Linked DNA regions of Struthio camelus. The protein of the gene in region 1 interacts with the protein of each later gene in a biochemical or structural test. Links are inferred from orthologs where the notes say so. Each region holds a gene or a part of one and is shown in the gene's direction. Other genes may lie near its edges.

Evidence for each region.
Region 2: the proteins of AKT1 (region 1) and CCDC88A form a complex in vitro, tested with the Homo sapiens proteins (2 studies listed by BioGRID, with this or other methods). The link is inferred for Struthio camelus from reciprocal best matches to the Homo sapiens genes AKT1 and CCDC88A.
Region 3: of the proteins of AKT1 (region 1) and EZH2, one has a biochemical effect on the other in vitro, tested with the Homo sapiens proteins (2 studies listed by BioGRID). The link is inferred for Struthio camelus from reciprocal best matches to the Homo sapiens genes AKT1 and EZH2.
Region 4: the proteins of AKT1 (region 1) and FOXO4 form a complex in vitro, tested with the Homo sapiens proteins (2 studies listed by BioGRID, with this or other methods). The link is inferred for Struthio camelus from reciprocal best matches to the Homo sapiens genes AKT1 and FOXO4.

Annotation. Positions count from the first base shown.
Region 1 is NC_090946.1:73,935,912-73,943,207, reverse strand, and holds the start of AKT1 (RAC-alpha serine/threonine-protein kinase), read left to right. Parts: upstream 1-4,291; 5' UTR 4,292-4,554; intron 4,555-4,684; exon of another isoform or gene 4,685-4,780; intron 4,781-4,976; exon of another isoform or gene 4,977-5,274; intron 5,275-6,273; exon of another isoform or gene 6,274-6,348; intron 6,349-7,296. UniProt on the Homo sapiens protein: AKT1 is one of 3 closely related serine/threonine-protein kinases (AKT1, AKT2 and AKT3) called the AKT kinase, and which regulate many processes including metabolism, proliferation, cell survival, growth and angiogenesis.
Region 2 is NC_090944.1:118,737,110-118,744,565, forward strand, and holds the start of CCDC88A (girdin), read left to right. Parts: upstream 1-4,447; 5' UTR 4,448-4,528; intron 4,529-5,045; 5' UTR 5,046-5,460; coding exon 5,461-5,523; intron 5,524-5,641; coding exon 5,642-5,742; intron 5,743-7,456. UniProt on the Homo sapiens protein: Bifunctional modulator of guanine nucleotide-binding proteins (G proteins). Acts as a non-receptor guanine nucleotide exchange factor which binds to and activates guanine nucleotide-binding protein G(i) alpha subunits.
Region 3 is NC_090943.1:62,688,327-62,696,076, reverse strand, and holds the start of EZH2 (histone-lysine N-methyltransferase EZH2), read left to right. Parts: upstream 1-4,742; 5' UTR 4,743-4,757; coding exon 4,758-4,762; intron 4,763-7,750. UniProt on the Homo sapiens protein: Polycomb group (PcG) protein. Catalytic subunit of the PRC2/EED-EZH2 complex, which methylates 'Lys-9' (H3K9me) and 'Lys-27' (H3K27me) of histone H3, leading to transcriptional repression of the affected target gene.
Region 4 is NC_090952.1:25,564,314-25,571,688, forward strand, and holds the start of FOXO4 (forkhead box protein O4), read left to right. Parts: upstream 1-4,364; coding exon 4,365-4,772; intron 4,773-7,375. Other genes in the region: SNX12 (sorting nexin-12), read right to left, coding at 232-334, 941-1,065, 1,279-1,374, 2,940-3,104. UniProt on the Homo sapiens protein: Transcription factor involved in the regulation of the insulin signaling pathway. Binds to insulin-response elements (IREs) and can activate transcription of IGFBP1.

The DNA of each region.
Region 1 (7,296 bases):
CAGGACAACTTGTATTATAAATAAAGCAGAAACTATACTCTGCTGTCGCTCCCCAAGCTGTTGGTTTTTGGCAGGTTTCTGACTGGCATGACTGCAGAACTGAGGCTGCAGCTGAGCACTGAAGTAAAGAAAACACTGAAGATATGAATTTGACTTTCCTCTCCCTTCCCCTTTGCCTGCTTTTATTCGGTTCATGGTAGTGTCATCTCTTTTACATATGAGGTGTGAATACAGATGATGACATGACTAAATGCAATTTTATGGCTGCAGTATCCAGGGGGTCAGACCAGAATGATATTGGAACGGTCACTTCTGGCTTTAAAAGTTTCCAAACTATAAAATTTTGATGAGGTGATTCAAATGCTAGCAGATTTTTGTGTGCATGCAGATGCCATTAAAAATGCACTGAAGAAATTAAAAGCAATCCCTTCTCTGCTAGCATTCATGCACAAATAATAAAAAAATCTGTCAGTGCAGTGGTTAAATGTCATGTGTAGATATATTTTAAAGGATTTAGGAAGCCTCTGTCATCATAATACCGGAAATCTTAACAGCTAGATTAAGGCTCTTGATCTCAAGGAAATTGTAAAGATCATGAGAAAGACTGCGTTTTTCTGTACTGGCTTCCACCTGGAGCTCAGTTCATCTAGACTGCAGCGCTCCGAAAGATCTACTGCTGTGCCTATGCCTGGCAGCAGAGCTGCTGCTCCTTCCACTTTTCCATAGGGAGATTTGCAAGGGCAGTCACTAATACTGCACTCAAGTTCATTTGCCCACCTTGTGCTTAACCATATAATTTTAGATCAATATAGCATAATGAGCATTGGGTGTGTGAGTTGAGAATGCAAGAGACCTGATTTTGTTTTTAATGGGTATAGAACATGTGTATACAACTTCATTATTTCAGTGTCAGAGGATTTTCCTTTTCGAATATAGTTAAGATTGTGATGTTTCTTTAAGCAGGTTATTGCAGTTTCAGCATTTTCAGGTATCTTCCCAGAACTAAGAACTCACGAAATGTTGTTTTACAAACAAGGAGGGGAAAAAATCAGCAATTTGGAGTAGACTTTGCTTCCTTAAGATCAAAGACTGTTTCTTCTGCTGTGTCTGTGCAGTGCCTAACATTTCCTGGTCCAAAATGGGACTTGTGGTTACTACTGTAACAACAAAAACAGCCGTGGTTGGCGTATGCGACAGAACTGATATATTTGCTATTTTTGTACATTCTATATCTAACTAGTGCATTTTCTGTGCAAACCAATTCAGTTCCTGTTTATTTACTGAATTCCCCCTAGCGTGTTTGCTGCCCTGTGGCTATCATTATTCCAGAGGAAGAGAACTGCATGGTTCTCGCTTTGGAGTTTGTCAGCACCATTCATTACGGAGCCAGAAAAGCTCTTGGAAGGACTGTGAAGTATGCCCTCTTCCTCCTTTTCCAGCTGGAGAAGGCACACTGCCACCCCAGCGCTGCCCAGCCTGAGCATGCTGGCAGCTGGGAAACAGAAGCTCCTGTAGGTCTCCTGTCTGACCTCTGGGAGGGTCTGTAATAAACCCTGAAGAAGAGCTCCCAAAAGATGTTTTAGCAAACAGGGACAACTCAGATCTCTGGTCTTCCAGTTATCAATTTAGCTAACACTTGAATAGTCTTTCATCGAATTCAGCACAGAAGTACAAACTAAATCATACATGTATTTATTCACAGTATAACTTTCTAAAAAGCAGAATGACAATGTTTCAGTATGATTACATTTATTCTTTTTTTTTCCAGATAGCCTACCTTTGTTTTGCTCTTGAGAAAACGTCTTCAATCATTGGATTTTTTTTCAATTTTAGAAGTGCAGCTATGTTTATTATATTTGGCAGCATGAAATGAATGCACTTTTAAAAAAGTTTGTATTTTTATTAAACTAGACTTTCATCTTAGACCAAACATGAGCTGTTTCTTTAAAAGTTACAAATGCCTAGACTGAGACACTAGTGCCACAACTCTAATAGGACTTCGCATAGCTTTTTTTTTTTTTGAGCCCTGTTTGAGTAGAGCCCACCTTTCAAAAAGGGAGGAATAAATTCACTGTTAGCACCAAAAGGCACTGTCAGCACTTGCAGTCATGGAGCACAACTTGTTCTACTGGGGTGAACTCAGTAATTCCACTCCATCTTACCATACTAGTCTTTCCTTTTATGCCTGACTGAATAAAAACGTTTTTTATCCAAAGCTGCATAATTTCAGTGTTTTAAAATAAAGTCTTAAAAGTTAGATCAGATTATTTGTTACTTCCATATTTGTTAAAAATGGGTGAGAACATGAGTGTCTGTTCTTCCGGTACAGTATTGATATATTGTCTGGCAATCGACCATTCTTTGCCTCCAACCCCTACGTTCAGTATTTTATGGTAACATAATACCAAGGAACAGTTGATGCACCTTATCCCATATCAGTTACTAAATTAGAGTAAACAGATGTGAAATTTGAGGAAGCGCTTAGGGAAATCTAGGGACTTCCCTGAAAATTAGGGTTTATAGACTATAATCCCATTGATGATAACTGAATGACAAAACCCCCATTGTTTGCATTTATAACAATTCTTGAGTGATTTCATTGTTCTCAGAGGAAAAAAAGGCCTGCTTTTGTTCATTGTTGTTACAAAGTCACCCTTGCTGTTGCAGACCAGGCACTTCCTACTTTACCTGGGTATTTTTATCCACATGACTTTTCTGTGTTTCGGAGATAAGCCTTATTCCAAACCCCAAATCTAAGTGTTGTCCCCCCCCTCCCCTCCCCTCCTGCCCACCATTTGGGGAATGTCAGATCTGGATCCAAACTTTCTAGTTTGGGCCTGTCGTTCATCATTGTAAATCAACAGTTTGCAAATCTAAACAATGTGCTCGTGTTGATTTTGGGTTTTTTTACTGTATTTCCTTTTTAGCAAACAATGGAGGTTTATTTTCTTCTCTTTGGGACTGAAAACTATGCTTGCTGTATGACCTTATTTTTTAAACTGCTGCTTCATTTGCAGGGGAAGTCCTAATGACCTTGCTCACGATGACAACCCGGGAGCTTATCAATCAGAACAAGGTTTGGCAGAGAGGCAAGAAAGCTCTCCTGCAATCAGATCTATTACCAGAGATCCCTCTGCCTATACAGAAGTTTCCTACAGCCAGTGAAGTCCTCTGCTTACACATGCTCTTTATTGCTCGGTGTAATCACAGGCTCAAGAGTCAAAATTAGTTTCTAAATGAATTTTCTTCTTTATTTTTGGTTAGTTTCTACACATGTCCCCTCAATATGCTGCAAGCCTCTCACACTGATGACTAATTTCCTTCGAAAGATATCTTTACTACCTAAATGCATTTTAATCTATGCTAAATATTCTGGACTTAATGTACAGTATGTAGAAATGGGACGACAGTCCCAGAGAGTCTGTTGCAGGTTTCTCTTTTCCTTTTTTTTTGCCCTTGTACATCAGCATGGGAACAGTTCTCCTGCCCGTTTCATTCTCCTCTTGTATAAACCGAAATTTTTCCACTGCATCACTAGGTGAGGATCTAACCCTAAACTAGGTACTCCTGTAACACAGGGTACGCTTCTTCTCCTAACTTGGCTGGTAGTATATTTTTAAACCCGCTTAAAGGCCCCAGTACTCCTAAAGGAGAGCCATAGAAATACAATACCGGCTTAGCACTTCCACGGGGAGGAACTGGCCTGCCCAGTGATGGAAAAGGAGGTCTCGTTCTCCCTCCCTCCATCCTGAGCGAATGTGAACCCTTTCCTCCTCGTTCCCATTCCTGCCTCCTCCAGAGCACTGATGTACACAAAACCCAATGATCCGTTTGACACCTGGGCACCCAAGAGGCAGTCAGAATTATTTAGACAGACCTAGATGCTCAGAATGGAAGAGGAAAGTATATAAGCCGTGAATTTTGGTAAACGTGTACAGTCATTCAAAGGACATGGTAGAAATGCCTCTTACTACCCAACAAAATAGATTTGTTACCAGCGTGAATGCAAGGTCATATTCCCCGGCTTTACTGCTGTAAATGCACTTCATGCACCGTGAGTCTATTAACACTGCAAAGCTATGGGAAGGTTTTCCAACTTCTAACCAGCTTCCGGTTACAGAAACGTGACCATCCGCCGCTGTCGGCTTCCGAACAGACCAAATCACTTCTTGCAGCCCGGTCAGAGCTGCCGGCACTGTCAATGAGAAAACAAACAAAATCCTTAAATTAGCAAAGAGGGCAAAACTAGCTACTGGGAGCGCCGAGAAACACCAACTCCGTCAAAGGCACTTCCACAACACGGTTGTCCAGAGCGCAGCGGCCCTCAAACCCTGAGGAAGCGGGGCGAGGCGGCGGGCGGCCGCGCTCCGCGCCTCACGGCCTCCCCGCTCCGGACAGGGCCGCCGAGGTGTTCTCACAGGCACCGTCGCGCCCAAGTATTTAAGCAGCCGGTCGCGGGGAGGTGTGAGGGAGGTCCGTGGCCGTGGGGCTCTGCCTGCCTCGACGGCTTTGGGGCGGCTCGCTCCCGCCGAAGGCGCCCAACGGCTTCCTCAGGTACTTCCGAGCGGTGCGGCGCGGCCTGCGCCCTGCCGCCGGGCGGGACGGCGGTTCCGCGGGAGCCGGGCGACGCGGTCCTCCCCCGCCTCCCGCCGCCGAGGGGGGCCGCGGCGGGGCTGCGCGGGGCGGGCGGCGCTGACAGGGCCCGGCGGGCGCTGCCTGCCCTCCCCGCTGCCGGAGGGGCGGCGGCGAGCGGCGCTAGGACCCGGCGGCGGCGGAGGATGTGAGCGAGCGCGGCGGCGGCGGCGCGTGTGGGGCGAGCGCGGCGGCGGCGGGAGCGCGGCCCCGTGGCGTGGCGGGGGGAGGCGGCGGCGGCGGCGCGGGCATCCGCCGCCTCGGCGGCTGCCGGCAGGGGGGCGGCTCGATCGCGCGGCGGGCAGGCGGGCAGCCTCCGCCTCCCGGCCGGAGGCAGGGCGGCAGCGGCGGGAGCGAGGCGGAGCGGAGCGGCGGGCGGGCGAAGGCAGGCCGGCAGCCGGAGCGGGTGTGGGAGCCCCATGGGCCGAGCGCCCGCCAGAGGGGGAGGAGGAGCCGCCCCACCGCCAGCCGCCCGGCGACGGTGAGGAGGAGGCGGCGGCGGCTGCCGTGAGCCCGGTTAGGCCTTAGCTCGGGAGCGTCCGCCTCGCACCCCCCCCCTCCACCTCCCTTCCTCCCGCCCTCTTCCCTTCCCCGGCAGCCGCCACCCTCTCCCATCACCTCCTCTCCCCGGGCTCCAGGCACGTAAGTGACCCGGTCCCCGGCTGGCAAGGGCTGCGGGAAGGAAGCGCCGGGGCCTGCTCCGCCGCGCCGCGCCGTGCGGGGCCGGGAGGGCAGCGCGGGGCCCGGGCGGCGGCCGCCGGTTCGCCCGCTGACCCGCCTAGGCCGCGGCCGGCGGGGGTGGTGGTGGTGGTAGTGGGGGGGGGCTCCCCCGCCGCGCCCCCCCCCCCCAACGCGGCCGGGCTGCGGCGCCCCCCGGGCCGAGGAGGAAGGTGGGGTGGGGGGGAGAGGCGGGCTGCGGCCGGCCCCCGGCGGGCGTCCTGCCGGGCGAGCGGGCTCGGGGCGAGCAGGAAGCTGTTGGCTTCCCCGGGATGCGGTAAATGGAAAGTGCTGCGGGCGGGGGGGGGGGGGGGGTGTCCGGCCTCCCGGCCCCCGCGGGGGGCGCGGGCTGGTGTGAACACCGTGCGGCAAACGAAGTAGCCGAGGCAGCTTTCCCCGTCTTCCCCCCCTTCTTCATCTTCTGCCGCCGCGTTGCGGAGCCCTTTCTGGCTGGCGGAGCAGCGAGGGTTTGCTGCGGGGGGTGTGCTGCTGCGCGGGGGCGTCTGCCGTGCGGAGGCTGCTGCGCAGCGTCGGCGGACTTGGTCTGTGCAGTCGTGCTTCGCAGACCGCTGTCTGTCTGCAGATGCCCCCTTCTCCCCCCCTTTCCTCCCCCCCGGGTGAAATTCTGCAACTGTTGAAATGTTCTTGGGGGGGGGGGGCTTCTAGCACTTTTGCTTCTGTTTCTTTGTAAAAACACGTAGTGTAATCCAGGATGTGAAGATACTGGGACTTCTTTTTTAATATATGTCTTACTGGCAATACGGTATTGATGCTAGTGTGTTTGTACCTTATCAGTATTCCCCTCCCCCCCCCCTTGGGGAAAGTGTTTAACTGTTTTCTTTTTGCTTTGTTTTTCTGCCATCCCTAATATATAATGAGAAGCAAATCCCTGATTTGCCCTTGTTTGTTTTATTTATACCACAGGAGGGATGTACATTTCAAAATACAGTTATAAAGGGGAGTTACTAACACTTAATTCAGAAGAATATTTGTTTACAGGTAAATAAATTTGACGTACTGCATGACTAGTAATTACTTTTATGTAGGAATTAATTTCCTTATGACAGCCACAACATTTGTCTGAGTTAATAGATTTAAAGACACTGTGGAGCTAGCTTTCATTTTTTTTAAATAGGAGGGTTTTCATTGTGTACAGTGTTTATAGAACTGCTTTTTGATGTGCAGCAATGGTAAATCAAATTGACCTAATGTCTGCATGTAACCTGTAGCTCCAGCATTCACTTTCTGGCTTATATAATGCCCTTATTACAGTAAGAATTAAATAGGATCATGACTGACTTCGTTTGTTTGGTGGACAGAGCAAAACTTTTGTTATGAGCACTTTAAAATGGAATTTGATTAAAATGCTTCTTAAATTAGTACAAAAATTCTGTGCAGCACAGTTCTTATGTGAGCGTAAACTGCAGAAGGACTTGTTCTTGTTTGGGAGCATAAAGAGGATTTTGTCTAGCCTGTGTCTCTGACACAGTATGAAGAAGTTGTCTCTTTTCTACCGTCACTCCGTTTTGAAATAAGTAGCTTAGTTTGTCCTATCAAACTTTAGCTGTGGTTGCAGCTTGGACAGCTGAATGTTGTAATCCGGGCCCCTCACCTGAACAAAATTAACCTCCTGTCTATTGATCAGTAGAGACACAAGAGCACAAGGCATTTCAAACTGCTGTTTTGTAAACCGAGGTTACGCCCATAGACTGAAAGAAGGTGGGCCTGGTTTTAGAGATTTGTCTTTTACCCTCAAATTACGGTTTTTCCGATCGCTCTCAGTATTAGGGAAGTGTTTCCATTCCTGGTGATAAGCCGCATGTGCCGTCATGAAATACCTGTTTAGATGTGGTGTTATTCTTAATCGAACATCACATGGGCCAATAGCAGATGTTAGTGGCCTGTCTCAAGGCCCACAATGCATTTTGTAAAGTAAGCGAAGATGCT
Region 2 (7,456 bases), on another chromosome or scaffold:
CTATCCTGAACTTTCAGGAGGCCAAGGAAATGGCCTAGCAACCCAGCAGTGCAGATCAGTAGGGGAGTACAGCAGCAACAGCTGTCACCCCTCTCTCTTCTCCTGCCTCTGCAAAGAAGAAAAAAAAAGTCTCTTATATCAGCTAAAGATGGGTAGGTTATGTTCATATTCTTCTTCAAAAACAGTCCCCTCCTTTGGCTTAGAATGGGCAAGGCTGTCCAGAAGTCTTCTCACAAGATGAATAGGGCCGTACACATAGCTATGCTTTCATGCTGTCTGCAGACTTAAGGAATCACTATTTATGTTCCAGTTATGTTTTCAACTTTTACTTTGCAACCACAGGCCTACAAAATTATGCTATGAGGAAAACAAGCTAAAAAAGTCACAAAATAATTGTCATTTGTGGATCTGGGGTCTAGGCACAGATTTCCTTCTTTGCAGAAGACGCTGAAATTATAATCTTTGTGGGGCCAAAGGAGATGCAATAGAAATAGGGATACTTTACCTATAGAAGGACAAACACTGCACTTCAAGTTAACAAGGTTAATTTCTAAAACTGTGCTTTCAGAAATTGTAGGCCACGCACTGTATTAAATTCTGACAGGTCTGTTGCAGAGAATGGAAATGTAAAAGAACAAGATTGTCTTCTCTGCGTTTAGACAAATTATAACAAGTGTAATTTTTATACAGTTCCAAAAGATTCCTGAATGTGCATCCCTGGAATAATTGAACTATTTAAAGCTTCACTACAGATAACTTAATGTTTCTACCTCCTGTTGCTTCAAAGTGAAGGAACGCTTCCAACTATCTTATCAGTTCTACTAAAGCCAAAATACAGTATTTTACTTTCCAAGGAGAAGAGGGAGACAATTTCAAACTGAATCATACCATTTAGGAGAGTTGCACATGTCCTAATGAAATCAACAGAAATTGAAAACTATGAGTGAGTGATCTTTGGGAGTGCTGGGAGTAGGAGAGGAGGAGCAAAGATGGATTCTTACAATTTAGGTGGCCCACTGGTCCACTAACTGAGGACACAGTACCAGTCTGAATATATACCTCATTAGACACATGAGGATCTGGATGCGCCACCTTGGGGTGGGGGGAGCATTTCAGCCAGCTCATATTTGGGGACGTAAAGCAACCACCTGCTACCAGGCTTCACTGTTCCTGGGGCTGACAGGACTACTTTCTGCTTTTTCACATTACCTGCAATTATATTAATATTTGTAGATTATACTTAAATATTTTTACTGTCTATGTAAAGAAGTAATTGTATTTTAATTATAAAACACGTAGTGCTGTATCCTTTTGAGGAATGAGGACTTGGGAGTGAAAGAGATACTAGCTTTAAAAGGAGCAAACAATTGATGTGATCCTGGAAAATGTTATAAACGTGACCGGAATGTGCAGAACTGAACTCTAATATTGAGAAGCTTTATTCATTTAAGATAGTGTTGCAGGAGAACAGTAGCTTACACTGTCTTCCTACTCACCTGCCCAGTCAAGAGTCTTCCCCTGAATGATCATGAGATGCGTTGAAGAGGAAAACATCTAGCGCTACAGGTATTTACAAAATATTGTGAAAAGAAATAATATTCTGTAGGCCCTTGACGACGAAAGAATTACATTCCTGTTACTTTTGATGAGTGATGATGAGGGAGAAAACAAATCTGTAACAAACCCATACTATTTATGGCTTTATATACAAGACTTTGAATTGAGCTTCCTAAATAGCCAGTTAACTCAGGTTGCCACGTTCTACAGCTGATACTGAATCTTTACGCCAAAGTTCCTGCATTTGTTCCTATAAGGGTGGCCATGAAGCTTGTCTTGTGGAGTCTCTCCAGGTAAAAAGTAAGAAAAACCAGTGCATCCAAACAACCCACAGGTTGCAGATTACAGTGATGCTGCCTAGCCCCTTAAAGCGGAGCCATGACTTCTAAAAATTTCCTAGACTAATACTCCTGAAAACTCCTGACAGCTAGGCTAAAAATGGAAGCCTTCTGTTTTCAGTGTGGGATTAGAAAAACACCTCAAATTTTCTCCCTTTTAGTTAATTTCAAGCAAGCTCTGTCAAAAGAGGGTTCAGAAATCAAAACCAAACATCTCCCCATCCTATGACACCCAGTTTCACCCCTGTCAGCATGGCTACATTTTAAATAACCATCTCGCGCGGCTCTGCAGCTGAGCTCAAGCTGAGCCAGGAGAGCAGGGATTCGCTAGGGTAGGTACCAGCAATGCACTGGTGTCTAGAGGCTGCCAGTAGCTTTATGTAGGCACTGATGTGATGAACGGTAAAGCCAACTGAACAACCCCTAGCTTGTCCAATTTTTTGCAGCTATTACAACATGGTAAATAGCTACCCTATCAGCAATGCATTCTGAACTGACGTGAGGGTTTATCTCACTGAAAATGAGGTAAATTCTTTTACAGTTTGACAAGGTGTACGTTACAGAAACGATAAAGCTTCTTCACAAGTTTTTTAGGGCTGCTAGTCTTACCCAAAAAAAAAAAAATCATAAATGAAACCTGACTGTTTCTGGGCACCTTTTCTGAAATTTCAATTTTCCTCTTGTGTTCATCTCCACCTTTTATAAGCAATCATTTGTTGGGCTAAGCCAGTTTACAGTATGTTTCACAAAGAAGACATGATGCAATATTTATCTAAAATGTAGTAGTCTGACTGCAGGAATGGTGAGCAATAGCAATACTGAGACTGTGTGCAAAGTGAATTATGGGTTATATAAAAACCTGCCTAAAACTAAAAATATTTAGAACTGCTTAATCAGAATTTAATCTAAAAATATATATACCAACTCAGCATAAAATACTTTTCAGGAATTGATTAGCTAGCTGCTGTTATTAGCATGTAGCTAATATTTGGGCTATCAACTCCTACTGGCCAGTCTTCAATTCTCAGAAAATGTTTTATGCCCAAGTCACTGTTGCCTAATTAGAGCCTGCAAGAAAAACTGATGAGCCAGGGAAGTTCCATAGTATTGCATGCACAATTGTGTACTATATACTGTTGCCAGATACAGGGAGCTTCGCGGCTGGTTATTCAGGCTTTTACAAAAATGCTTTTGTAGTTGTCTTTAAGGGCTAGTAGTTTATTGGCAGTTATTTCACCCATGTATCACCAGACTCCTATTTTGATCCAAGACTGTAGTTTTCCCTTTGCTTTCTGTTATTTCTCTTGTTTCACAGGAAGGCTAGTCACGAGTTCACTCCAAAGATCGAGTTTGGGGGAAAAAGAAGACCTGATTTTATTGAAAAAGAAATCTCACTGCAAGAATCAAAACAAAGCCACTTTCCTGCAACTTCTTATGCATAAAATACAAATTGCATAGTAATATTTCAAGGTCCATAGTTTATTTTGCTACTCCTAAACGTTCTCTTCAGTTTCATATATATGGGAAAAGGTCACTGATGCGGATTTTTTTTTTTCCTAATCTTCAACAGTTAGGATAAATACCACATCCAGACATGTGGGTTAGAAAAACTAATCTGTTTAGATGCTACTCTACTTGGATTTTTTTTTCCCCAACATTGAATTTCAGTCACTTTATTGCATTTTGTCCTTTTGTGTGTGTGCAAAAGTAAAGGTATTTGGGAAAATGCTGCTGCAATTTAATTTATATTACATGGAAGAGAAGATGGATTTAGTTTGAGATTTTTGTAAAATGCTTTGTGAATAAACTACATAATCTATTAAGCAGATACCATCCCGTATGTTAATGCAGTACTTGAGATTTGAAATGCACAAGTGGCAAGAGATGGCTTAAGGACAATAGCTTAGGCAAGCAAATTGCTTGTCATCGTTTGCTTTTCTGTAACCAGGTCGCCCCCCCCCCCCCCGCTCTCCCCTTTCCCTGCTAAATCCCTCCAGAAAGCTGGATTTTGTGTTAATGGGGGTGTGTCTGGGTTTCATCTTAGGAAGACCCCCCGCGCCCCCCTCCCCCGCATCGCTGAAGTGCACGGTGAGGGCTGCGGGTCGCCGCTCTCGACCTAGGGAGCGATGAATCCCCCATCTTCCTCTTCACGGGCGTTAGCAACTCCCCCTCCCCACCCCCCTCCTCCTTTCTTTCTTTCACCGACGAGCTTTCCCTCGCTTTCCCAAACGGGAGCCAAAGAGGTTTTTTTTTTTCTCTCCTGGCCCCCCACCCCCGCCCCTGCGGGTGCCGGGCCGCCCGCCGCCCCCCCCCCCCCCCCCGCGAGGCACGGCGCGGCCGTTGGGCTCGCGCGCCGCCAGCGCCGCAGCGGCAGTGCGCGCGCCGCGCTCGTGCGCGCCGGGTGCTGCAACGGTGCCCCGCCCCTCCCCCCCCCCCCCCGGCCCTTTTTAATTCCGCCGCCAGCCACCAGCGGCCGTTGGGCGGGGGAGGAAGGGACCCGAGCTGGCGGAGGGATAACCTTTTTCTTGAGGCGGCCTGGGGCGGAGGGATCCATACGGTGGAGCCGCCCGTGGGCGAGGGGGGGGAGGAGGGCCGGCTGAGGCGGCGCGGTCGGGCCGGCTGGCTGAGGCGAGGTGGCCGTTATTTGGCAGGAGGGGTGGAAGGGGAGGTGGTGGCCCGGGGGGCGCGGGAGCCTGAGGCTCGGGGGTGGCTGCAGAGCCGCGGCGGGCGGGAGAGCCGCTGGAGCGAGGCGGGAGGGGCTGGGGGGCGGCCGGGGAGCCCGGCGGAGGGGCCGGCGGGCGAGGAGAAAGCTGTGACGGGCGGGGACGGGGGGAGCGGCCAGCCGGGGGGAAGGGCGAGGTTGTGGGGAGAGGCGGCGTGTGCCGGTCCTGTCCCTATGTTGCGTCGTAGTTTAGTGGAAAAGGGAAGGGGTTAGAAAAGGGAACTAATTAAAAATAGCCTCTGATCCCTGCTGGGGGCTGGTGTCCTCTCTGGGGCTGCCTGTGCCATTTGGGGGGGGGGGGGTCATTCTCTTGTGTGCAGAAGCAGCCTGAGGGGCTTAGCGCCGAGTGGGGGTGGGGGTGTATGCCCCTCTTCTTCGCTTAACCTCGTCTTTTTTTTTTTTTTTTTTTTTTGGTGGGGACGGGGCAGGATGAGCTTGCAGAGTTTTACTGGATTTTCTCCTTCCTTTCTGAGGAGCTACCGCTGCTGAAGCAGATTTTTCCTTCCTTTCTTTTTGTCTGATGTAGAATCCTAGTAGCTAGGCAGCCTCCCTCTTTTCTTCCTTCTACCCCTTCAGTATGTAGGAAGGGAGAGACATCAATGGAAAGGCCGAAATACATGTAGATGGACTTTCAAATGCTTTTTTTTTTTTTTTTATTTGGAAAGAGGAAGATAGAGCCTACTTGCCACCGACTTTTTTGTTGCTGTTGCACTGCTTTGTAAAAATGGGGTTTGCTTACTCCAGCTGAATCCTCTCAGTGTTTTAGCAAGTTGCTACAGTGGAGGACTTCTCATATTTTTTGCATCAGAGGAGCAACATTGATGCTAACCTTTTTTTTGTAAAATGGAGAGCGAAATATTCACACCCCTTTTGGAGCAGTTCATGTCTAGCCCTCTTGTCACCTGGGTAAGCATTAATTTTTCTTTACACGTTATTCTTGTATTTGCTTGTTGTTTGAGGATAAATGCCTTGCTGCACAGAAGAGGATGGAATTTGTGTCACAGTGTTGATGATTATATTTTAGGTTAAGACATTTGGACCGTTAGCTGGAGGAAATGGGACCAACCTGGAGGAATATGTGGCGCTAGTGGATGGCGTGTTTCTGAACGAAGTCATGCTGCAAATGTGAGTGTACTCGAGTTGTGTGTTGGATTTGGTTATTACTGTTGTCTTCCCTTCTGTATTTTACTTTCTTAGGAAAGCTCTTCTTACCTTCAATAACAATGTTAGTAAAAATGTCTTCTTTATTTTATGCTTGAAGTAGTCTTGTGGCTTAAAGCATTCCAGATACTCTTTATTTGTTTGCAGTACAGTATTTTTAATGCCAAAATGATGTATTTGCAGGAGGTATACGGTAATACAGGCAAAGTCATATCTAGAACTTACTGGAAAATTGCGCTTGAATCACTGTAAATGCAGTTTCCCAGATTTCCATTTAGAAGCATAAAGGTTCGTTCTACTGTAAGTCGCAGTCATAAACCAAATTTCTAAGCAAATTGCTTGGTTAATAAGATTCTAATGCATATCTTAGTTCATATGGTATACAACTTAAGGATAGTATGTCAGTCAGCGTAATGTTGTCTACTAACCAAATGGGCTGTTCTGTAATTCTTTTCGCTTTGTTTTTCACAGTGCCAAGTTTGAGTAAATAGAAGTTGTGTAGTAAAGCTGAAGTGTTATTTGATAGTGTAGAATGTTTTTTGGGTTGCAAACCACAGAAGAAACCTTTTTACATGTTTTCTACAAGTGTTTATTGAAAGCTGTGATTGGTAGAAAGCTTGCTATGTAATTTTATTGATGTAAGATATTACAAGCTATGTATTTATATGTAATTTAGAAGGCAGGTAGATCAAGAAGTTCCAGTCATAGAAATACAGAAATAGTCAACTGTGTGTTGTATTGTGTGTGTGTTTTTTTTTTTTAATCATAGTTTTGACTGGAATGTTGCCCACTACTGTAATGCTAGCGAATAACACTTTTGTCAAGTGCATAGCAATATAATCATAAAACTGCTACCCGTGGAAGAAAGATCTCAATTTTTTCCAGTATTTTAGATCTATACAGAGAAGTACATCTTTTCTTTGCATAGCTATGAGTAAGTGTAGGCTTATGAATGGCTTGATAAATAACGCCAATGTGTGAGCAGCTCGTAATGACAGCTGTTACACTGCTCAGTGATAGGCATCCTTGTACTGTGTTCATAGTTCTTACTTCAATTTTTTTTTTTTTTGCTGTTGGTGTTTGGCATGTTTAACTAATCTATGTAAAAGCTCTGCTCACCACATTTAAGACTGAATTCTCATTCTTTAAAACCAGTATCTTGTCACCAACTTCTGTGCGTATAAATTCCAAGTACTCGTTTTCTGTTGTTCTGAGAAACATGGAAAACTTGGAGTAGAAATTTCTGTAAGAAATCTTGAACTTGAGTGTATTTCTGGCATATTTTTGTAAAAAGAATTGTAAGTGATGCATTCACAGAAACCCTATTTTTATTCTACAGCTTAAATGTCTTTACTTGGTTTAGGTATAAACTAGGTGTAGAACTTTCATTCAGTAAAAACATTGGATAGTTGGAAGCGAAGGCCTAATTTAGAATTGGGACAAGGTGATTTTGAAAAATGCAATCTTGAAATTAAACTCTCTCAGCAAGTTTTTGCAGTATTAAGAAAGAGTATAACCTGATTAATACGTATATGGGAAGTCTGCTGCCTTTGAAAACGTAACTCAAATGGAAAGTTGTAGTGAGGGAATATTCCCATGCTTCGAGCGCTGTGTTTTGAATTTGACTTTAACTTTGTGTGTGCATCTTTGGCCCCATTCCCTGGAGTACTACAGTTTA
Region 3 (7,750 bases), on another chromosome or scaffold:
GAGCGAGCGCGGGCGGGCGGGCGAGCGGCGCGGAGCTGGCGGCGGAGCTGGCGGCGGAGCTGGCGGCGGCGGCGGCGGCGCGGCAGCGCGAGGCCAGGGCGGGCGGGCGGGTGAGTGAGTGAGCGAGCGAGCGACACCTCGCGGGCTTCAGGCGCTGGCGCCGGGAGCGGCTATTTATAACCGGCTCCCTTTGTAATGGGGGGAGGGGAGGAGGGAGCGGGCGGCGGGGAGGGGGGTTGGGGGGGGGCGGTGGCTGCCGCCGGGCAGCCTCCGCGGGGCGGGCCGGGACGGGGCGCGGGGGGGGGAGCCGGTGGCCGGCGTGGGGTGGCGAGCGCGCCGGCCGGTGACAGCTGGAGGGGAGCGGCATGGAGTCTGTAAGTGCCCTTTGTCTAAGTTGGCTCCGCGCAGCCCGGCCGCAGGTCGGCGAGAGGCGGCCCGGGGGGCGGCGGCGGCGGCGGGAGGGGGGGCGGGCGGGGGGCGGCCCGAGGCGCCGCGCTGCGCGGGAGAGGCGGCGTGGAGCAGAGCCGGCTGCTTGCCTGGCGGCGTTGGGCGCAGTGTTGTTGAAGGATGCGTGGATTTTTCAGCGTGTCCAGCAAGGCTTCAGAGCGGCTGATTGACACCCGCGGAGAAATCCGCGCCCCCCCCCCCCACTCCTCCCCCGAGAGAGGTGGGCGAGCGGAGTATTCCTCCCTCCCTGCCTGCCTCCCGCCGTCCCCGCCGAGGGGTTGGGACAGGTCCGCTTCAGCCGCGTGGGCTCCTCGTCTCCCGGAAGCTGCTGCCCGGCGAGCCGAGCCCGGCGCCCTCCGGCTTGTGCATCTCCGCGCACTCGTCCTATAAACTTGTGCTTGTTTGGGCACTCTTTTCCCCATAGGTGTTTCCTTTCTTCCTCCCCCTTCCCCCCCCCCCCCCTTTGCCTTTGAAAATTCTTAGTTCAGGAAGAAAAACTATTTAAGGGGCGGGGGGGAACCTGCCAGACCGGCAACTCGAGTGAACTTCCTAACGGCGAAGGGCACCGTTTGGCTCTTGTTTTCCAGAGCGCTGCAAGAAAGTTTGTGGGGAGCTGGAAATTGCGATTTTTAGCTCTAAGGCTGTCAAGCACGGGTGTACAGAGCGCTTTCAGAAACCAGGGTGTTTGGGAAGGTGTGAAGGAGGGTACTGGACAGAGCTGCCCCTCTGCAAAAAATGTGTGGTTAGGTGAAGATGAAGAAATCGGTGCATTGTGGCACCTGGCTTATGTATTTGACATTAACAGGTATTCGTGGTGATTGAAAAATTATTAGTAGCACCGAAAGAAAAGCAGTCGGTGGATATGTGCAGTGGGAATAGAATAATTAACTGGTACTTTGCTTGAAGTACTTTCTCTAAGTTATGAAACACTATCCTTATTGGAGCTAGAGAAGAGTTTAACTAGGAAGTTGGAAGTTTAGATCCTTGGTCTCTTTAAGAAAACTGTACAACAGTTTTACACAAGGACGAATCTATCTTGTAACAATTGAACAACCTTGTGTAAGTCTAGCAACTGTAGTTCCAACTATTATGAGTTTGATTCTTACCGAATATATATTTCAGTGAAGAGTTTTCCCAGTGCAGGTTTCACTTCTTAGGATTACCTTGTAGATAGTGTGGGTTTTTTTGTTTGTTTCTTTGTTTTTTTTAAGGGATTGGCCCGTTCAGATTCTTGATGTGATTTGTAAAAATTAAAAGGTCATTCGATGTTTGTCCTCACTGTCTATATCAGATTGAGAGTCCAGGTAATGTTATTTGCAGTAACAATAAAGCATCTTCAGGAGGGTGAGTATTATTTCAGCCCAGTGTACAATAACTACTCTCAGTTTAGCCCCTTAAAATGTGAATGTTTAAGGCCGGTAGAGACCTTCAGAAAGCATGCTTCCAGTGTTTTAGGAGATATGGCTAGAAAGTTTTGTGTGGTGTCTTGAGTGTCTTTAACTTCAAGATCTAATGCTTTGCTACTTGGTTTCTTTTAAGCTTCTTACATCAAAAGGGTTATATTTCTTGTTCCAGAGTTTAAAAAAAAAGAGAGAAAAATACATTTTTTCCTTCATTTACGTGAAGAAGGAAATTAAAAGTTAAACGGCACATGGGGAGAACTGTGACAGTAAAATGTTCCATGAGGTGATGACAGCTATTTTGTTCTGAAATTTTAAAACAATTCAAGATTCTAATTTAGGACAAAATTTGGAAAAAACACAGGGCAGTTGTTTTTTTTAATATGCAACTTGATCCTCAAAAGTGATAGACACTGAAAATTCGTATTGTCAAAAGGTCATAAAACATGTTTGCTGAATTTACAATGAACTAAAGTGATGGTGTGTAAACTTAGGCCAGAGACTTGAAATTCAAGCTGGATTTTTTCCCTTTTGCTAGAATTGCCACCAAGCTGAAATATGGTTAGTGATTTTGTTGAAGATTGCATGCCAGAATAGAATTATGTTTGTTCTATAACATTGCAGCATTCAAAGGTGCAATGTAAGTATGATCATGCACTTCTGCTTATCTGCAAAGAGACTTTGGCTTAGAGAGAGGAGAACTTTGCTAGTGCGTTAGCAAAGGCACCAACTGCATATGTTGTGAGTGCAGGCTAAACGTCACTTTTTGTAAAGCAGCTTACGTCAGAATAAACTACATCTAGCGTCTAGTGCGCTCCAAAAATGTTCCCAGAAAAGTTGGTGCCTTAAAAAATTCCTTTTGTAATTAGTCAAAAAACTCTGTTATTTTTACAAGAAATGTTTACATTTACAAGAAGATTCTACTTCTTTAGCTGCATATATCTTGTATACATTTTAATAAATTCTCAATTTTAAAGTTAGAATTGGATGACAATTTTAAATGCCATATGACTGAACAGAGAAGGTTTTAATTTTAAAAATGGCAACAATACTGACAAGGCATATCTAATAAATGTTTGCTTTGTATTGTACTCAAGTGAAAGCACTGTGGGAAACTTTAGTGGAGGCTATAATATGAATGTTGTGTGGTATCTGTAGTTAGCATTTATAGATGCAGTGTAACTGAGTCGAGCAGAAGCATCTGTGAAATTTTAGGAGGAATAAAATTGTCCCCAACAGAGATGCTGGAAATCTCAGGAACAAGATTTGCCTTTGCTTGGATTTTCCTTGCTTGGCCTTTGCTAAGCAAGGAAAATTTGAAAGTTCGCTGAGTCAGGTAGGTCATTGTTAGAGTTACCTGTCTAAGCAAAATACAGTTTACCAGATTTTAAAAATGTGAAAGGAATGGGTGTAGTCTGCATACTATGAATGTAATTCTTAAGGGTTACATTAGGTGCTTGAATAGCACCTACCTTTGGAAGCAGGACCAAAGTAAAAAGAAGCTAGCTGTAAGACAGTACTAGGAGGATTATTTTAATGGTAATTTTGCTACCAACCTTCTGTTCATCCTGTCAGAAAACTCTGTGGAGTGGTGCCAGGCTCATTGAAATGATGTCTAATTGAAGTGGCGTTTAGTATCTATGTGTAACTTGTACAGATGTTCTAGAATAACCAAATTAGTTTTTAAATCGACAAAGTTACTCCAATGCTGATGTAGTTCAAATGATAACTTCAGGTAAGGGGATATGTCTGGAGGAGGAAAGATGAGAAGAAGAAAAACCTTATATGAAAAGGATGCAGAACAGGGAGAGGCATTTTGCAGGGGAACAACAAAGATGCTGGTTCCAAGTTAACGTGCTTGGGTTTGTTTTTTTAGCTCTAAGTATATACCCAAGAGTTTTGCTAAGCTAAAGATTAAAAGGAAAACAGTGTTTAGAATTATTAAGCAGATGTTCTACCTGTCCTCATGGAAATCACTTGAAGACTTTAGAATGACTCAGTGTGTCACTGCTCACAGATAAGGTGAAACTAAAGACTGAAATTTGTTGAGGTGGGGGTGGAGGGAGAGTAGGGTCTACCAAGGTCCAAGCAAAAAACTGTGCAGTTGTTTTCCTTTAAGACAGTAGTGGCAATGCTGTTTTCTGTAACTGATAACAGGAGATATTTTGATTGTTAAAGACTTGTTCTGGTTGTACACCTAGATCTCCACTAAGATCTGTCAAACTGTGGACTTGAGTTCTGAGTACTTGGTGAAACTGAAAAACTAACCCAGTGTTACAATTGGAATATGTGTTTTGGATTAAAAAAATAAAGTAACATTAGTAAACTTGGGTAGGGGTTACTCTGAAGTATCTGAGTGATGAGTAAGAGTATCACTTGCATATAATATAGCCAAATTAAGCTCCTTTTAAAAAAAGGTGGAAGATAAAGGAATTCTGAAAAACATAAGAATTATTTAGCCATAGATTTGTAAATAGATTATTGTAAAAAATATATATATTTTCAGAGAAGATGATGTCTGTTAGATGTTCTTCCTATGTCCAGGAAAAATATACTTAAAAAAAAAAAGTCAAACTCTAATTTTTGGGAATGTTTTGGTTGCCCAGCTAAAGTGTGCGTATAGGATGTTTAAGTAATTGCATCTCTGCTCAATTTGTGAATAACACTGTCTTGTAAAAATTTATAATGTGTACTGTGCTTCCTTTCTAATGGTAGTGCTTTTAAGGTGGGAAGTCTCTGGCTCAAGACCACTTGGAAATCTAGTCAGATATGGTGCATATTCTAAAGGCTGCAGATGAAAAATAATGTAATGATGTGACTGGATCAGTGCAGTGCTGTCAACTGCTTGAAAATGTCACATAGTAGTACTGTCAAAGCACCTACTTTGGATGTATATGATTTCGTTAACAAATGAGGTAAAAGTGACAGAGAATGTACTGCCATCTTTCTGAATGCAACTAATGACTTTATTAATATGCAATTGTAGAAGTATTTCAGAATTTGCTACTTTTATATATATATATATATAAATATGGTGCTTGTTTAACTAATGTTGTGTGTGTAATTATGCAAGCAAAGTAGTAAAAGTTACAGTCCACAGCCTGGGCTGGAAAAAAAAAAGTCTTTTCAGGACTGTATGCAATGTTTGTCCTTTTTTCCCCCCCTCTCTTTAAATCTAGAGCCAGGCCTGTTTCCCTTGTCAGTTTGTGTTGCATCTGACTCCTTCTCTCATTTTTCTTTTACGTGGTTGGTTCAGCTTTTCCGTACCATGCATTCTCTGTTTCACAGTCTGCATGTTCAATTTAAATCCCAAAGCCATCTGATGTAATTTAAAGAAAAAAATTATTTGAAAGGAAGGAAACTCAAATCTTAACTACTCATACTTTTTTTCTTTTTTTTTTTTTTTAATGCTAGCTAGTTTCCTTTCCACGTTTCTTAGCACAAGTGGACCTGGCAAGCTTTATATTTCCAGTGTGTAGATGTCCGATCTCATTTTTATTAGTAAGATTAAGAAAAAATTAGGGCTGGGACTTGGATTACTTTTTTCTGTAAGAAATCAGGCAGACGTGTTGCAGATACCTGACTTGCAGGCATAACTAAACTATATCAGATGGATTAAAATCTTAAGGTTATGCTTTCTCTGATTTTTATGATACAGTTTGTAATTGGGCACAGCTTAAAATCTATCCTTCACGATAACTTCTTCCAGCTATGCATCCACCAGTTTGTGCTGTATTTCTAGTGGGTATTACTAATGTGTTTACTGCAAAGTTAAATCTACTGTTCAACTCTTGGAAGAGGAAATTGACAGAAGCTGTTTTACACTTGAAAGTAAAATGGTTTATGTAACCACCACTGGTGTTCAAATGCTGCCTTGAAATTGGGAGGCATAATTTTTTCCCAAAGCCTTGGAACTATCCATAGTTCTCTTCCATAGCCTAAGGGAGCAGAGTTTTTTCACTAGATGATTTTTCTTTTTTTAAGATTAACAGTTTCTCATTAATTTTCCCCTTTAAATCAAGCTTCTGGAAAAGTAGCCTCTTTAGATTAAATACAGCTTGTAAAGAAAAAAATACTTCTTGTAAGGAAAGAGCAATGTGCTGTTGGGTTAATCCTCATATACTTTTTAGGGAGATATGGATGCTGTGCATTAGACTCAGTTATTCTGAGAGCTTTAAAATGAGCATTGACTGAATAACTAATTTGGTTGCTTTCATCATTAGAAGCTCATTGCTGACTTTTTCAGATCATTGGCAAATCTACCAAACACCTGTTAAGCTCCAAAATTTTTTCAGACTGTTTTGCAATAAATTGTGTATGAGGTTTCTGCATACATGGAAGTGTAATATCTTTCAAAATTTGGGATTTTTCCCTGTGCAAGGAAATAAGTATGGAAAAGCAATTGTTGCGTGGCAGGGTTTTTTTTTTGTTGTTTACTTTTTCCGTGTGGAGTGTGGGGTTTTTGTTTCTGTGTGGATTGAGCTAAAGAACCTTTGGCTGTTTTAGAGTAAAATAGGTGTGTCCATAAAAACAAGTTAGGGTAGAATTGCCACTGCACTTTAAATTCACACCCTAAATTATTTTGCCTGTGTAGGCATGCTGTAAGTGCTCCCAGCACTCTTTCTGCCAGGTTTATCAAGGATATCAAAAAGTCCTTAAATTTTAGGGGATGGAGCTGTTAGGCAACAGAGGTTGTTTGGAATTTGTGTGGGAGTTGTATCTTTTCAAATAAATTAGACAAAATGTATCCTATGGCATTCTATTAATGAGTGTGAAAAGAGAAATTTGAACGTATGAATTTAAAATGTAAGCTGTATGGCTAAATCTTTACTTTCTCCTGACAAATAATCAGGCTTGGTCTTGTGTAAGGGATGTGGAAATTCATGATTAATTGTGACTTGCAAAGGACGTATCAAAATCAAGCTTCAAACTTTTTGTTGCTGTTCTGATGTTTGGTTTTTTAAAATGTTTTATTTATTTTTGATCCAATAGTCTTACTCATACCTGTAAATATAGTTAAAGCTATTTTTACGTGCAAATATCCAGGTAAAAATAAATGGTTACACTACCTGCTGCATAGTATTTTGCTGATGTCACTCAAACTGAAGTGAGATTTCAGTACATTAGTTAGTGCCTGTTTTGGTTTGATGTTTAATATTGAATAATGCAGTTGTCATCTACCCATCTGTTCCCTGTCACCCCGAAGTGGACAAACAGTTAAACGTATCATTTGTATTTCTAAAACAGTGTTTTTCTAAAAATAGCAAATGTTGAAATGTTCTGGAAGAGAATAATGGTGGGAATTAAGAAGTTTTATCATTCAAATGATAATTCCTTACGAGGTATTTAGTAATTACATGTTGTATCTGATTTTTGTTTTTCTAAGTCCTAAAACTGCAAGGATATAGAAAAAGATCTTTATTTTTGAAGGGAAAAATACCTTGAAAAGTTACAGATTTGCATACGCAAAGTGATTCAGCACTCTAGTAAAGATTTATCTTTTCCTTTTGCCAGCTGTCTGACAAAAATATGTACTGCATTAGTTTTTTGTCCAGTTGCTGTATTGGTTGAAAGATATGTATTGGAAACCTAATTATTTCTATTGAAATTTTAGTTTGCTATTAACTAACCTAACTTCTTATTTGTTTTTATCTTTATTAAAGAAAATGAAACTGTGAGAAGTAGCCTTATCATTGTTTTCTGACTAATAAATATTCTAAAGGAAACTCTCCTGTAAAAATGAGGTAAATTAAATAAAGTTAGAGGCAGTGCTCAGGCTGCTGCCCTCTTCTTCAACTGGTAGAAAATCTGAAATAAGTTTAGTTTTTCATACATTTTTGTTGTTGGATCTTTTTCAGGTACTTTATGTTGAATCAACTAGCTGTTAGTGCTGAAAACTTTAA
Region 4 (7,375 bases), on another chromosome or scaffold:
CTGCTGCTAGGTGCAGGACAACACATTCACTTGCATAAATCTTCATACCTTTAGGCCAAGACCACAGCCCAGTAGAACAGACTGCTGCCAGTTACAAAAGAGGAAAATACTGAACAAATTGGGAGCTTCAAGAGAGGAAAAGCTGGTTCAGAGAAGACAGATTTAGTGTAAAAATAAATGTCATTTTTGCAGGAGGGAGGGTGGAATGGAGGAAGACGGTGCCAGGTGCTCCTACTGGCGCACTTTTCCTGGGACGTAATTCCTATCAATAGTCTCCTCTTGCAGGAACATATGTAAGCAGCGCTCATTCTGTGCCAGTGGGTGTCCAGCAATTCTGGAAGAAAAGCACAAGTGGAGGTTAGCACAGCCACCACAGGGGTCCCCACAAATCCACTTTGCGTAGTGAGTGAATAAGGTAAACTTCACTAACGGGGACCAGCCTCAAGCACAAAAATGTCATGATCACTCCACAGCCTTGGGAGGCCTGACCTGCCCAAGGGGAGCAAACCCAGGGACTTGGGCTTTTCCCGATCAAATTGAAGCCTTGAAACAGCCACTCTGGGGCGAGGCCAAGGTCACTGGATCGGCATGTATCAGGGCCAGCAAGAGATGCTTGAGCACAGAGTAATCCCTCCACTAGCACGCTCTGCAGCAGGGTCACGAGCATCCTGAAACAACACTATGCAGTCAGTGAGTCTCTGCAGCACAACTTATCTGCTAACATTCACTTCAGTCTCAGAACAGAGCACTGAATACAGTCCACAGTCAAGGCAGGACTTGCTTCAGAGATGTGACTTCACTACCCAGCTGCAGGCACCATCCTTTAGCGTGGCACTCGCACACAGTGGATCAGGATTCCTTCCTAGTCAACCCACAACCCTTTTCTGCTGGCAGCAGCCAGGAGGGCAAGCACACAGCAAGCCCAGGACACCAAGCTTACTTGTTAATAAACTGTTCTAGTCCCTGTCTCCGCTCCTCAATGAAGGACTCCTCAAAGATGCCTTCGTCTCCTCGGAATGGAAGCTGTCGTTTCAAAGCTTTTCCAGGCAGCGGTGGCACTACAATCTGAAAGCGCAGAATCATCGCCATTAGCAGAACTGCCTCCTGCAAGAGGGCTTCCTTCGCTGTTTGATGCTCAGCTCTAGCACCATTACTTGGCCAGAGATCAAGCCTCAGCAGCAGCAGCCCACCACAGCCTCTCCTCTGGGTAAGACATGATCATTGCTACAATTGTTACCGTGTGACCCCATTGCAGCAAAGGTCCGAGCTAGGCCTCACCTTACTGTCTCGCTCCAGCTCATTCTTCAGCCATTCAAAGTCACTGTATCTTCTCCTCACACACGACTCCTTCAATTTGAAGATGGGGAGGTTTGTCTGTAACGAAGAGAAGTAGTTAATTTGCAGGTTGGTTCAGAAGCCAGATAGCATTTCAAGATGTAATCGAAACCTAAAGCTGCATTTAGAAAGCCAAGCCCCCTGAGAAGAACGCATCACGAGAACACCCAGCTCCATTATTCAGGACATAAGCACTGAAGCCCTTCAAAAATCAAGCAAGCACTTGCCAGGCTACTTGAAGCCAGCCGTTCCCTCCCCCTCAAGTTACTATTTCAGGAAAACACCCCCTCCCAGGGGCACACACTGGAACCAGGGCTTACAGTACAGAGAAGGCTTCCCGCCCCCCCCCTCACCCCCTCCGAGTTCACTCCATTTTGAACTGGTGTTCAAGAAAGCTTCGTAGTAGCTTCCAGAGCTAAAGAACCTCCCATCTGGCACTGCCGTTTCCATGGAAGAATTAAGGGAGGAAATCTTGTCCCAGCAACTGCCCAAGGCCAGATCTCGTGCTACAATCTTCTCTACAGAACAGACTGACTACCCAAATGGAAAAGCACCTTTTCCATATCTGGCCTGTGCCACGACAGGAACTTTGCAGCAGTTCCCCTCCCTTCTTCCCCCCACATCGGAGTCGGAAGCCTGAAAGCTACAGCAACTTCACCCTCACGCTGCCAATAATAAATACATCCTGAAACAATCAAGGAACTAAGGCAGCAGAACCTTCTGACAAGTCAGCACCAGATGTACACAGGTGGTGCTGCCACACACATAACTGTATTCTCATCAGGTCCGCAAAACAAAACCAGCCGCTTTTGAAACATCTCTGCAAGAGCTAGTCTCAGTGACACTAAGCGGTTCTCACTGCCATCTGCCAGACACTGTTTGGCAGGTTGAACGAAACCAAGCATCAGGACAGAAAAAGAGCAAACACCCAATCCTCCTCCGAAAGGCAGCGGAGACGCAGCAGTTAAATCATGCCGTGGAACAGAAGCCAACGCCAGCACCGTAACGTACACTAGCAGCACCTTGTTTCAGGAGAAGCTCAGTTTTACTTGCGCTATCCTATAGCGAGCCTCGAAGTCACCACCTCAGCCCAATTAAGGCCCAGAACCCTGCAAGAAGCGCTCAGCCTGCTACGCGCTCTTCAGGACCGCAGGCTCTTTGTGAAGCGACCGAGCTTATTCGCAGACGGCAGCTCCACCGCAGCGTGATGGGCTCCCGAGGCACTGACAACTGGCTTGCCTTCCCTCTTGGAGGAGGCAGCTGCGGGCAGCCGCTTCCCGCGGCTGAGCGCCAGGCCTGGGGGCCTGCCGGGGGGCACCCTCCTTGGTGCCCAGGCCTGCCTGGACGGAGAAGGCCCTCCTGCAGCGGCGAGCGCCCCGACCTTGAGCCCTCGCCCACTGGGGAGCGGCCAGGCCCGCAGCCAGCCCCAGCCCGGGCTTCGCAGGGCCCGGCCTCGCCCCTCACGAGTACGTCCCCCCCCCCGCCCGCCCAGGCCCATCCCCTGCCCCCACGGCTCCCCCCGAGCTCGCCGCGGGCCCCCTCCCCGGTCGTCCCCCACCGGGGCCTGCGCCGCCGGCCCGCAGAGGCCGCGCCGCGGGCCGCACCCGCATGCGGAGCTCGTAGCTGGTGTATCTGGCGCGGCCCATGCCCACGGTCTGCGGGTTGAAGATGTCGATCTCCAGGAAGTTGCTAGGCGGCCCGTACGCGTCCGTCAGGTCCTGCGGCTTGGCGTTCAGGCGCCGGGTGTCAGCCACCGCCGCCTCCGACATGGTGGTGCTGCCGCCGCCGCCGCCGCCGCCGCCCCGCCCGGCCGCTGCCGCAGCCCCGCTGCCGCCCCGCCCGCGCACGCCGCGGCTTCGCGCCGCCCGCCGCCTGCAAAACCGCGCCGCCTATCCAGGGTCCGGGGTCCCCGCCGCCGCCCCGCCCGCGCACGCCGCGGCTTCGCGCCGCCCGCCGCCTGCAAAACCGCGCCGTCTATCCAGGGTCCGGGGTCCCCGCCGCCGCCCCGCCCGCGCACGCCGCGGCTTCGCGCCGCCCGCCGCCTGCAAAACCGCTCCGCCTATCCAGGGTCCGGGGTCCCCGCCGCCGCCCCGCCCGCGCACGCTGCGCCGCCGCCCGCCCGCCGCCTGCAAAACCACGGCGTTTATGCAGAGCGCGGGGCGAGCGGCGGCGCCACCCCGGAACCTGAGGCCAGGACTCGCTCACGCCGCGGCCCCGCGCCGCCTGCGCCGCCCCGGCCGCTTCCCCGCACTGGGACCGCGCAGAGCCCGAGGCTGAGGCAGCCGCGCTGGGAGCGGGGCTCGGAGCCGCGGCGCGGCCCGGAGGAAGGGCGAGGGCTCTGCTATACAGCGTCCTGGGCTGGGCCAACCCCGGGCGCTGTGTAGCGCGGCGAGGCCGCAGCCCCGGAACCTGGTTGCCAACCCTGGTTCACCGCCCGGGCAGGGAAGGGGAAAGGAGCAGACAGGCTCCCGGCAGGGCTGGCCGCAGGGCCCGAGCGGGCAACAAGGCTGAAGGAGCCACAAGCCTAGAGCCCAGCCATTGCAGCGGCAACGGGGCTGGGCGGTGGCTGCGGCCCCGGGGCCGGTCCTCGGCCGGGCACTGGCCGCCGGGGCGGTGCCGGGAACAGCGCGGAGGGAGGGGGCCCGACAGGCGGCTCGGCAGGGGCGGGGCCACCGTTATGTAAGCGCGGCCGGCGCGGTGCCCGCTGGGAGGTGTAGTTCTCTCGGCGCGCTGCCTGCCACGCTCGCCTTTCGGGGCGGCGCCCCGCCCCGTCGGGCGCGGGCGGCGCCGGGAGTTGTAGTACAGCGGCGGGGCCGGGGCGCACGCGGGCAGCCGAGCCGGGACTACGACTCCCGGGGCGCCCCGCGCGCGCAGGCGCAGAGCGCGGCGCTGCTCCCTGGTAAACAGAGCGGCGCGGCAGCAGCGGCGGGGCCCGGGTCTCACAAAGGGGCAGCGGGCCGGGCCGGGTCCATGCGCGGCGGCGGCGGCGGCGCGGCCCAGGCCCGGCGGCGGCGCTGAGGCGGGCGCCCATGGCGGAGGCGGGCGGCGCTGCCGCCGCCGCGGGGCTGGACATCGACCCCGACTTCGAGCCGCAGAGCCGGCCGCGCTCCTGCACCTGGCCGCTGCCGCGGCCTGAGCTGCCGGCGGCGCCGGCGGAGGCGGGCGGCTCTGCGGCGGGCGGCGCGGAGGAGGGCGCGGGCGGCGCGGCGGCGGGGCCCGGGCGGGCCGAGGGGGCGCGGGCGGGCGGCGCGGCGGCGCGGAAGGGCGGCTCCCGGCGTAACGCCTGGGGCAACCAGTCCTACGCCGAGCTCATCAGCCAGGCCATCGAGAGCGCCCCGGAGAAGCGGCTCACGCTGGCGCAGATCTACGAGTGGATGGTCCGCTCCGTGCCCTACTTCAAGGACAAGGGCGACAGCAACAGCTCCGCCGGCTGGAAGGTGCGCGCCGCGGGCCCCGGCGGGTGGGGGGTGCCCGGGCCGCCCCGGGGTGTGAGGGCTGGGGAGAGGTTGGGGGTGGGGGGGGGAGCTGCACCGGGCAGAGCTGGCCCCGTGGTGAGGGAGGGCCCGGTAGGCCGCTGCCTGTCACCTCGGCCCTGCCGGTGCCCTCTGCGCACAGCCTGCTGTTCACCTGTTGCTCCGTGTCCCGCCGCAGGCCTCGAGTGCGTTAGCTGGCTCGGTCGGGGCCCGCTGGCAGCCGCGGTGTTGCGGGCCTGTCCCCTGGGCTCCTCCGGGGCCCGCTCCGGGCTTCGCACAGCCTGAGCGGAGGCACGGGCTTCGCTGGGCGCCAGCCCAGGGCTTCGCTCGGTCACTGCCTTGCCATGAAAGGCTGCTCCTTGTTCGCTTTGCGTCCTGAAAGTTTTCCAGGGAGGGAGTCAGGGGTCAGTGGAGAGACTCTAGCTAAGCGGCTGTGTAAGATGAAGCATCGGTTAAAGGGCCTTTAAATACAAGGCCGCAGTTCTTTAGCCCCTGTGCGAAAGCTCAGTATAAATAACTGTTTCATAGCAGACATTCTTGGCTTTCAAGAACCTCCCTTCAGAAAGGGTGCTGTGTCCCAGAGCAATGCCGATTCTGCTGCGTAGTGACTGAGGACCTCTGCTGGAGTTAGGAAAAGGGAAAGTAGACCGAGGAACATGCTCTTCAAAAATCTCTATATTATCTTCTCCTGTTGCTCTGGCAATAGGCACGTGCTAAGTTCTAGTATAAGAGCTAACTTCCATTTCCGTCCTCTGCAGGTGGCAGCTTGGTGTTCCCGTTCCGTTTAGTCAGACGGACTCGAGCAAAAAGAAAGGGAGATGTGAGAACTGGCTTGTGAAATAGTCCCTTGTGCTGTCCTCGTATATCACAGAGGCTGCCAGAGTGACTGGAATCTAAAGCGTGTGATCTGTTGCTGCACACTGGAATTACACTTACGCTACGCTCCCCTTGTTTGCAGAGTATCTCTCTGTTTGTGGTTAGCAGCGCTGCCGTGGCGCGGTTCTGTGGCAGCTTGAGCCCATATGGTTTGGGGCTTCCACGACTCCAGCCGGGCATTCCTTTGCCTGTGAGCTGGTGCCTGTGTGATCAAGCAGCAAGTCAGCTCAGAGAGTTGAATTTGCAGAAAACTGATGGTTTTTTCTGGTAGGTTAGCTTTCAGCTGGCTCAGCTCTCTGAAGTGGCACACCGTGCGGTTGCATGAATGCTGGTGTTTGCTCAAGAGAGGGTAGGAACGTGGTGAGAGGGGCGCAGCTGTCCCAGCTTAAGCTGGCATAGGTTAATGCAAAACATGTCACCTTTCCCATTTGTCCAGCTCACTGAAGGTTCCTGGGGAGTGCAAGGAGTTTGACTAAAATTGACTATTCATTTTTTCTTTTCTTCCGTCATGCAGGTTGAATCCCTATTAACAAGTGCTGACTTGAGACAGCGTGCTTAGATACGTTTGCTTTCTCCTCAGTAGAACTGAGGTCTCACTGATAGACAGTTTTTGCTTGCTTGGGCTAGGCAGGCTGTCCTGGGCCGCCTGCTGCTGCGTGGAATCGTATTATTTTGGCAAACAGGACATTACATTGGTGCATTTTCTCTTTGGGAATGTCTCTGTCTGTTTGGCAGTAATGAGTTTGCAGCTGGAACGCTCCCTTTGGGTTCTCTGCGGTACAAACTCTTTTCCTGACCTTCTAGTAGTTATGAACGTGAAGCGGTTGTATTGTAAATGAATCCTACTGCGTCTCGGTCCTTAAGGCTGAGGAAGCTGGCACATGGAGTTAAGCAGGCACTGAGATGCTTTATTGTGAGATGTGTTTCAGGACCTAGGTCTGGGGATAGATAACAGAGCTTGAGACCAAAGTTCGGTGTGGCATCTTAGATATGGCCCAGGATATCTTGGGGAAGTTGAAGGAGCGTAGTGAGGTATCCTATCAGGCTAGATGCTGGTATAGATGGACTTCTGGCTTGATCCAGTGTGACTGTTCTTTTGCTGTAGTCCTTAGTGTGAAACAGGACCTTTGGCTTTACTCTTAAGATTTCATCATGTGTTGTCAATTTTGGAAAAAGCGTGGTTGGATTTAGCTTGTGGAGAGGCAGAGATGAGAACACTTTGTGCGTAAGTGTGTGAGAGTTGAGGGCCCTGCTCTGGCACTGTTGCTGGAGTTGTTTGATGTAGTTTGACTTTTTGCTGATGAAGTTCACTTGTAGTCTTGCAGCCTGTGAATGGGCTAACTCAGGCTAGCTTTAGCAAAGCGGGGAGAACAGAAACTTCTTGTGAGGGAAGATGAGAGAAGGCAGAGTGACAGCAGCTGTGCTTGTGATCAGCCCACCTTATGGTTAGAGCAGCTTAAAACTGTGGACTTCAACCAGCAAGCAGAAAACTATGGTGGAAATACAATTGAAGCTGTTTAAATGCTGGGGGAAATTCCCCTAAAAACTTGTTTTAATTGTTAGCAAATATTGTCCAAGTCTGATTTTGTATATGGACGGTATACTGCAAATTAAGCAGTTACGTATCCAGGAAAAGCAAAGGGAGCTGTGTGCGCTCTCCCTCAAATCCCGTTGGCATAGCTTGGCAGGAT